2 linked regions of the Ovis aries genome follow. The protein of the gene in region 2 interacts with the protein of the main gene of each other region in a biochemical or structural test. Links are inferred from orthologs where the notes say so. Each region holds a gene or a part of one and is shown on either strand. Other genes may lie near its edges.

Evidence for each region.
Region 1: the proteins of BMPR1A (region 2) and BMP4 form a complex in vitro, tested with the Homo sapiens proteins (3 studies listed by BioGRID and IntAct, with this or other methods). The link is inferred for Ovis aries from reciprocal best matches to the Homo sapiens genes BMPR1A and BMP4.

What each region holds. Positions count from the first base shown.
Region 1 is NC_056060.1:64,608,007-64,612,287, forward strand, and holds the start of BMP4 (bone morphogenetic protein 4), read right to left. Parts: upstream 2,935-4,281; 5' UTR 2,409-2,934; exon of another isoform or gene 2,109-2,408; intron 1,871-2,108; 5' UTR 1,747-1,870; intron 694-1,746; 5' UTR 687-693; coding exon 314-686; intron 1-313.
Region 2 is NC_056078.1:40,570,845-40,575,302, reverse strand, and holds the end of BMPR1A (bone morphogenetic protein receptor type-1A precursor), read right to left. Parts: coding exon 4,245-4,458; intron 2,377-4,244; coding exon 2,201-2,376; intron 1,203-2,200; coding exon 1,072-1,202; intron 985-1,071; coding exon 859-984; 3' UTR 739-858; downstream 1-738. UniProt on the Homo sapiens protein: On ligand binding, forms a receptor complex consisting of two type II and two type I transmembrane serine/threonine kinases.

The sequences.
Region 1 (4,281 bases), on a different chromosome or scaffold from region 2:
TAATATTAAATTCAGTAGGTGCTTTGGAAAAAAAAAATAGGCAGAAAACCTGGCATAAAAGGCTTTGATATAGCAAAAGCACACCGCAGGGGCTAACCCACGTCTGAGTGGTGTCATTCCCTTCTCGCCGACCCCTCCCTTCCCTTCTGTCTCCAAAAAATAAATTCAGCCACAGCTCTGGAGACTCTTGAAGGTAAGCAGCTCTCTTTTCCCAGTCTCCTGGATTTGGGGTTCTGATGTAACCTGAACTCCTCGTCGTCTTCCCACAGCTTCCACTGCCCCACCCCAGTCCAGATTCCAGGTAGGGACTGACCTTCGTGGTGGAAGCTCCTCACGGTGTTGGCCCGACTGGCGGGGCGCTCAGGATACTCCAGACCGATGCCCTGGATCTGCTCTTCCTCTTCCTCCTCCCCAGACTGAAGTCTGTAAAGATCCCGCATGTAATCCGGGATGACTGCGCTCTTGCTAGGCTGCGGGCGGCGGCGCAGCCCGAACATCTGCAGAAGTGTGGCCTCGAAGTCCCGAAGGAGCTCATGGCTCTGCCCTGAGCGGCGTCCTCCCGCGTGGCCCTGAATCTCGGCGACTTTTTTCTTCCCCGTCTCAGGTATCAAACTAGCATGGCTCGCGCCTCCTAGCAGGACTTGGCATAATAAAACGACCATCAGCATTCGGTTACCAGGAATCATGGTGTCTCTGGGGAGGGGAGGAGGTGGAAGGGTAAAGAATAAATAAACACCAATAACTAGAGAGAAATGGAGATGTCTCTGCATAGGCGTGGAGAGCTACAGCTAGAGGGTCTAGAAGTAACACAGGTCAGAAAGATCAAGTTTGTGTCTTCCCCCGACACACACACCCCCCCACCACCACCAGCTGCAGCCATGCACGGCCTGAAAGTAGGAATTGCCCTGTAATTACTTGGTCTAACTTGTTTACAGTCAAATAACCCCAAATCAGATAGCCTCCATCCTGTTAATCTTTTTTTGTCCCAACTGCTATCTGAGCCATGATCTCAGCCTGGCTTCTTTAGGGATAAACAGTTAACAGTGAGAAGGTAAAGAAGGGTGGGGGAGGGAGAGTTCAAATGCCAGCGCTCTCCTCTCCACTTCAGACCTTCAGGCTCTCTCTCCCTTCTCCTCCACCCCCCTTCTTCCTCCGCCCTTCCTAGCCCGACTTCCACAACTTCCAGCTGGTTCGGAGGAGGGAAAGCAGAGAAGCAGGAGCAGGGTGAAGACACGGGGCGGCAGGATCTAGGAGCGTACCGAGTGGCCACAAGGTTTATTTTACTGTGGCTGAGGAGTTTGAAATGCCCAGCAAAAGCATCTGATCGCGTCCTCTCGCTCACTCCCAGGGAAGGGGGTGTGGGAGGGGATGATTCCAAGGGCGACCTCTGTGAGTTTTGACAAGCAGCTAGGAGCGAGCCACAGGGGCACTGGGTGCTCCCAGTCATGTGGGGAGGGGAGCGGTCAGCTCCCCTGACTGAGGACTTTTCATTTGTTCAGCCCCTTCTCGCTCCCCTTTCTTGCAACGCAGTGATCAGAGAGAGCCAGCGGGAGCAAGCGGCACTTTAACCAGAACCGGTAGGCTCCGAGCGCAGTGGTTGCCCGGCCTAGAAGAAAGCGACAGCGCTGCCAGAAAGAAGAGTGTGGACTCTGGAAGGAAGGTCCGACGGAAGGGACACAAGGCGAGCGCGGGCGGGGAGGGCAGAGTGAATTCCCGGGAGGAGGGAAGGAAGAGGTGTCTACTCACTGACAGAAAACAAGGCATATAATAACAGTCCATGATTCTTGACAGCCAATCTTGACAAACTTGCTGGAAAGGCTCAGAGGAGCTGCTGCAGTGCGTTGCTCTGGATGGCACTACGGAATGGCTCCTAAAATGAATATTTGAATATAATGAGACTGGCGCAGACAGACTCTGTTTTTCTTCCAGCCCCTATGAGTCACGTGAGCGCAGAGGCCCCGCCCCACGCACGGAGGAGCCCGCCCTCCCCGAGGCGGGCGGTGAAAGGGCCCGCGCGCCCGCCCCCGCCCCCACCCCTCCCGCCCGCGGCCCCACCCCCTCCCGGAGAGGCCGGCCTCCCCGCCCGCAGCCCCAAACCTCCAGCGGACCGGGAGGAGCTCGCCGTGGCAATCTGCTGAGCCCTCGGCGGGTGTCCGGGTGCGGCGCGTGGAGGACGTGGTCCTCGCCCCTACCTGTAGCCTTCGGGGCGTCGGGCTGGGCCCTCGTGCCAGCGGCCTGAAGCCAAGGGTCTGGGGAGCACGGTAGGGGCTGCGCCTTTCAGCGCGAGCCCGCCTCCGGTGGGGCCGAGATAGGGGGCCGCGGAGTTTCAGCCGCCGAAAGCCTCACCACCGAGGGTCATTTAAAAAGGAAAGCGCTGAGGGACACACAAACACACACGCCGCGCGCACCCTACTTCCTCCCCAGGGTCTCGGAGAGGCCAAATGCTGCTCCCAGTGACAGCTAGTTACCCCCTGGCGAACTCCTGAGAATGTCGAGAAAAACTGGACAGCCGCTTTAGCTTCCAGCCCAAAGCTGCGGACCCTGTCGCGCGGGACGGGAGGGGGAGATATTTAGGCGGTTATCGGTGTGGGAAGATGGTGAGAAAGCCGCCGCTAGGCTCCTTCTCCGGTTCCTTTACGGAGAAAAACTCCGCACTACGGCGATCCCCCGCCAAGCAAAGCAAATCCCCAAAGAAAGTGGTCGGCGGGCCATTCAAGGCACGGCGGCGGTCGCAGGGACGCAAGGCTCGCGACAGACTCGAAAAGAGGCGTCTCCTGAGAAAAGGCTCATCACATGTTTCAGGTCTCAAGGTCGCAGAGGTTTTACAACTCCCGACCCGCCGCAGAAAGGAAATCCCACCGCATTCCCAGGAGTCGTGAAAACCGTGAACAGCTTTCGGCCTGCGCTCGACCTCTGCGTCTGCGTCTCTCTTTCTCACTCTCTCCCCAGCTCGTCTTTTTTAAACCACTACTCCTCCCCCGCCACTTCCTCCCCCACCCCCTTCCTCCTTTGCACCAGCTGCAGAGTCGCAGCAAATATTTCTTCAAGAATTTTACCAACCCACAGCTCAAGGAATTACTAGGGCTCTGATTCTAACCAAAGATGCTGCATGCGTGGGTCGCTCAGCACAGGGGCCTTAAAAGAAGAAGAAGAAGGAAAAAAAAAAAAAAAACTGACCTACCAACTGCGGCAGCCGGGGCCTTTTCAAAATCCTGACCCACGCAATTCTGTGGCAGCCCTGCCCGCCCCGGGATCCCAAGTCCCACGATTCCCGCTGCAAAGCGGAGGGCACCGGCTGCCCTTTCCTGGGGCTGTTCCCAGAAGCTGCTTCGGGTCGCTTCAGAGCTCAAGGACTCAAGTTGCCCACCTCACTCTCCCTCGCAAACTTGGGGGCAGTTGGAGGAAGAGGAGGAAAGGATCAAGCGCTTAGCCCTCTCTCCGGCCGCGGCTGCCCAGCGCCGCCAGACACCGCACTGGCCGAGTTGCGGAGGCCGCGGGCGCCCCTGCGCGACGGTCCACACCCGGCGAGAGTCGCGCTGCTTTTTGACCGGCTTTAGTTTTTCCCGCTCCCGAGACACGGCTGGGGCTGACTGCGAAAGGGTTTGGAAGAGCAAAGAGTTTTGAGACGCCTAGACCCCTCAAAATGCCGTGGGAGGAGCTCCAGAAGTGGGAAAAGCAGACGAAGAAGGGCCGGTCCCCGCGGGCGAAAGGACAGTGGAAAGGGCGGAAGCCCCGCAGTCCCCAGACCATCCTCCGACCCTAAGAATCTTCCAGGGCGCCGCGCGAGAGCGCGCGGTGCTAAAACCCAGAAACCTGGGGAAGAGGGAGTTGTGTTTCAATTTCAGATTCAGAAGGATTCTTCTCTAATCACATTTTTCTCCCCCAATTTTCTTAATTAAGAGATAAAAGCCGAAAAGCACTTTCGTCTCCAGAACTTTTTCTTGGGGGTCAGGGATGGATCTTGTGGCAATTGTCTTTTGCTTTCTTGCTCGAGTTTTCTGCTAACTCCAAAGTTTGTTCAGAGCTGGCCTCAGTTTACCAACTCAATGTCTTTCGGGGTTTTAATGTCTCACAAAGACTTCAGCTCATAAAACGCAATGCTAACCATCCACCAATTGGTGCCCGGGAAGCGTCTAAGGCCGCTGGCCCAGCTCCTGTGGGCAGGGGTCTGCAGGGACCTGAAAACCCCAGGACCCTCTTCCATCGGCTCTGGGCCGGGAGGGCCAGTAATAGCAGTGCGTCCGATGTGCATCTCGCCAGCGACTCTCCAAAGGACAGGAC
Region 2 (4,458 bases):
GGAAGTTCCAACTTTGGAAGGATGCTTTTCATGACAATAATAACAATTAACAAAAAACAATTTTGTGGTGGGAGGAAAACAGTCCAAATTTACATACACTTTTAATTCCTTTTGGCCTTTATATTAACTTTAATGTTAAAAAATAAAGTTGGTGGAGAAGCTAGCTCACTTGCAAGGTAAATGGCTTTTATGTGATTGGCAAATCTCGGTCAGATAACGCATTTTTAAAGCACAAAACCAACAGCCACCAATATCTTCCTGTGCATTCACAAATTATCTTCTAATTCAAATGGCAGCAGAGGAACTCTGGTATGCACGTATGTACACAGACACACACACACACCACCAAGGCATGGCAAACTGTCATCAGCTAAGCAGTACTGTATCCCAAACAGAGCATAATCCATAGGCTGTTTACAAAGGTAGAATACAAATAGATTAAATTTTTTTCAGGTAGAAGGCAAACGTGTATATTTCTCCATCTCTGCTGAATTCATTTATCTTCTCAAGGCTTTCACAGAAAGCACCATTTTATGAACAGGTAATTCAGTACCCAGAGTTTGACTGGAGACTTATTAATTGGGATTGAAGTCTTGATGCAGTTCATAAAAATCCAATAAAAAAAAAAGGCATCAAAAACCACATTTAAAATAAAGTTGTCCATATATAAAGAATGAAGTGTTTAGAAGTTCCCAGCTTGTATTCTACAGAGTACTGAAAGATTAGCAGCCTGTGAAGGTGTAGTGAGGAAAGAGTCTGAGAACCAAGTTACTATCCTCATTCTATTCTAATTCCACCCATTCCTTGGGTGAAAACAGTTCTTGCAGTCTAGAATTTCTCCTCATGACCTTTTATCTGTCAAATCTTTACATCTTGGGATTCAACCATCTTGGCAAGTGTCTTCTTGATTCTCAGAGCTGTAAGTCTGGAGGCTGGATTGTGAGCCCAGCATTCTGACATTAGCTTCAAAACTGCTCGTAGACACTGAAAAGTAAAGAGAATGTCATGAGCGGGTAAGGGTCTTTGGCAACACTCAGCAATCACTTCCTGAGAGGACTGACTCCCACTTACTTCATCACTGTTCCATCGATTAGACACAATTGGCCGCAAACGTTTAACGCACACCACCTCACGCATATCCTCGTATGATGGGTCATTGGGTACCATGTTGTAATACGGCAACTGGTACTCTTCGACTATTCCTGTAGTGAGCGAGAAAACAGTGGGCACAAAAACAGTGGCTGGAAAAAATACATCAGTCTGTTCAGCACTTCTTACTGAACTAAGGAACTAAAATTGATTCCCCCATAAAGAAGAAGAGATTACTGAGCAGATGATTCATGTCTAATAGTAAATGTGTGTTCTACTCTTCTTTTTAAATATGATTATTTTCTATATCCCTACCATAGTTGTCCATATTGAACATGCCAATATCCCTTAAAACAAGCAAAGTGAACCATTCAACCTAAATTTTTAGTCTTTTTATGTATACAGTTGCTTCTACTAATAAAAGAGTAGAGCCTTTTTTCTGCAGTAGAAAGACAACGCATCTGTAGGAATGAGTTGGCAAGGCAGACTGGAAATTGCTGTCTGTATGAGAGGCCTGCCTGAAAGCCTGGCACTGAGCTGGTATCTGGGGACTTGCCTGCTAAACAGCTCTCTCTATTCACAGAAATGAAAAGGGTGGCCTTTGTAACTAGACTATTTGTGCAAACAATATAATTTATGCTGACCACCTGCTTTCTTTCTAGAAGTTTGGAATTTTGATACATGCCAGGCAGAGGATGCCCATGTGACCAGCCTCCAAAAAAATCTCTGGGTACTAAACCTCTAATGAACTTCCCTAGATGACAATATTTCACATTTTTACAATTCACTGCTAGGGGAATTAAGCACATCCTGAGTGACTCCACTGGGACAGGACTTCCGGAATCTTGTGTCTGACTTCCTCTGAACTTTCGCCCCATGGGCCTTTTCTTGTCCCTTTGCTGATTTTGATGTGTGTCCTTTCAGTGTAACAAATCTTTGCTATGAAGACAACTATACACTGAGTCCTGGGAGTCCCAATGCAGTGACAGAGCCAGTGAGTGATCTTGGAGCTCCCTGACCCAGATGACACCTAAATCATGCCACTGGAGCTGTTATGTTTTGAATGACGAGTACACAGACACAACCAGAAACACGCTGCCCACACTCCTACCTCCTGTGACACAACGGCGAGCCATTTCCCAAACGATCAAGCCAAAGCTGTAGATGTCAGCCATTATGTAGGGCTGGAAATGGCTTTTATTCAGGCTTTCGTCCAGCACTTCTGGAGCCATGTAGCGCTTGGTGCCCACCCTAGTATTCAGGGGCACATCAACTTCATTTGTGTCGCTGAAACAGAAGACAGAAAACGTCCAGGTTGAGGGGAAAGAAGAAAACCGTTTCTCCTCTATTTTCACTGCATTGTGTAACAGGCAGAATTTCTCTCTCTCTCTCTCTCTCTCTCTCTCTCTCTCTATGTGTATGTGTGTGTGTGTTTGTATACACAACTAAATAAAATGAAAATCTATCTAATAAGTCTACATTTCCTGATCAGTAATCCTTGGGGCTAGGTGTATTTTGAAATTTGACATCTTTCAGATTTTAAAAAAGTATTACATATTATATCCTTTAAATATATGCTGTGTATTGTATAACACCTCCAGCAGGGTCTGGAGCAGTCCTGAATCAAAATCATTACTAAGTCCACAGCAAAAAACTAAGTATGACTATTCACAGTTAACTGAATAAATAAAGACAGTAAATACCTCAAACCAGTTCAGGTCAAGTTTTGTCAGCAAGTAAGTTCTGTGTCTCTCTAAGAAAGAGAACAGTGCTGAACATAAAATGTGGTAGATGATTATGTCCTAGGGTGAGTAAATGTGAAAAGTGAGAGGCATCATTTGTTTTCTTCATTCTCACGTGATCCTTTGTGATTTGGGATTACATTTTTTTCTTTATGGGTCCAACCAACTCAGTTCTATTGTGAGTCATGTTTACATAATCATACTGCAATATTAATCTTTTTTTAAAATTAATTTTGGGAGTATATTTTAGAGTTTGAAGACATGAATGACCTTTTTTTTTAGGTTCCCAGATCTGTTAAGATTCTGGAAACTATTTTGAAATGGAGATCAATATAATGTACTTTATATTTTCTTAAATGGCATCTGATGAATACTTGAGCCAATAAAAATTCCCCTGATAGAAAAAAACAACAGGATAGAAAACTGTGATAATGACAGAAGAAGATTAAATTTTTTGATGTTTGTTTTATTATGTACTTTAATTTTATGGCCTGAAATGAATTTTGAAATGTAAAATGGCTGCTGTACTCTAGAGTTATACCATTAAAACAATTTCAATGGTTTCCTAAAAATGTGATATTCTCATCGTTTAAAAATACTGACAATATCAAGTGGTGATGAAGCCATGGCATACAACTCTTGTTCACGGGCGTGCACACTGACGCACACTTTCTAGGGGACAGCCTGTTAATGCAGCTTAACACATACATACTCTCTGCCTAGCCCCTTCTCCAGAAATCCACTATGAGGAAATACTTGTACAAGTACTCTGGAATATTATATATGGATAAAATACAGTATTCATTGAAGCACTTTTTAAATAATAGACCCTGGAGGCAACTTTAATGTCATCAGTTGGGTCATAGATGGGATAAATTATAGAAATCTATAAAATGGAAAACTTTGCATACTGCTGCTAAAAAGAGTAAAGATCTATATAAACTGAAGTAGACGTCGAAGACAATGGGAAGTAGGAAATCAAGAATTATGTAGAGTAAGATGTAATTTTTGTAAAAAACAAAAACCACAATGAGAACAAAACACTAAGACAAACCTCCTCCCAAATCCTAACTTATAATTTACATCAGCACAAATACATGTTCGGAGGGCCTCCCGGTGGCTCAGACGGTGAAGAATTTGCCTGCAATGCGGGAGACCCAGGTTCAATCCCTGGGTTGGGAAGATCCCCTGGAGCCACTCCTGTATTCTTATCTGGAAAACTTCATGGACAGAGGAGCCTGGCGGGCTATAGCCCACGGACTCGCAAATAGCTGGATACGACTGAGTGACTAGCACTTTCACTTTACTTTTCTTCACATGTTTGGAGTCCCACTGTCCTGAATACAAATACAAACAGGTAAATATCTTTAGGAAATTAAAATAATTCCAAACACCAGGCAAAGAACCACTCACCTGTTGAACTTAACAGCAAGGCCCAGGTCAGCAATACAGCAACTCCCATTTTTCTTGATGAGGATGTTTTTGCTCTTTAGGTCTCGATGAGCGATTGCAGGCTTCCCTTGAGTGCCGTAGATTTCTGTGTGGAGATGGCACAGACCGCAGGCAGCCGAATAGGCCAGCTTGAGCAGGGCTCTGGTGTCCAGCGTCGCACACTTCAGGAAGTCAT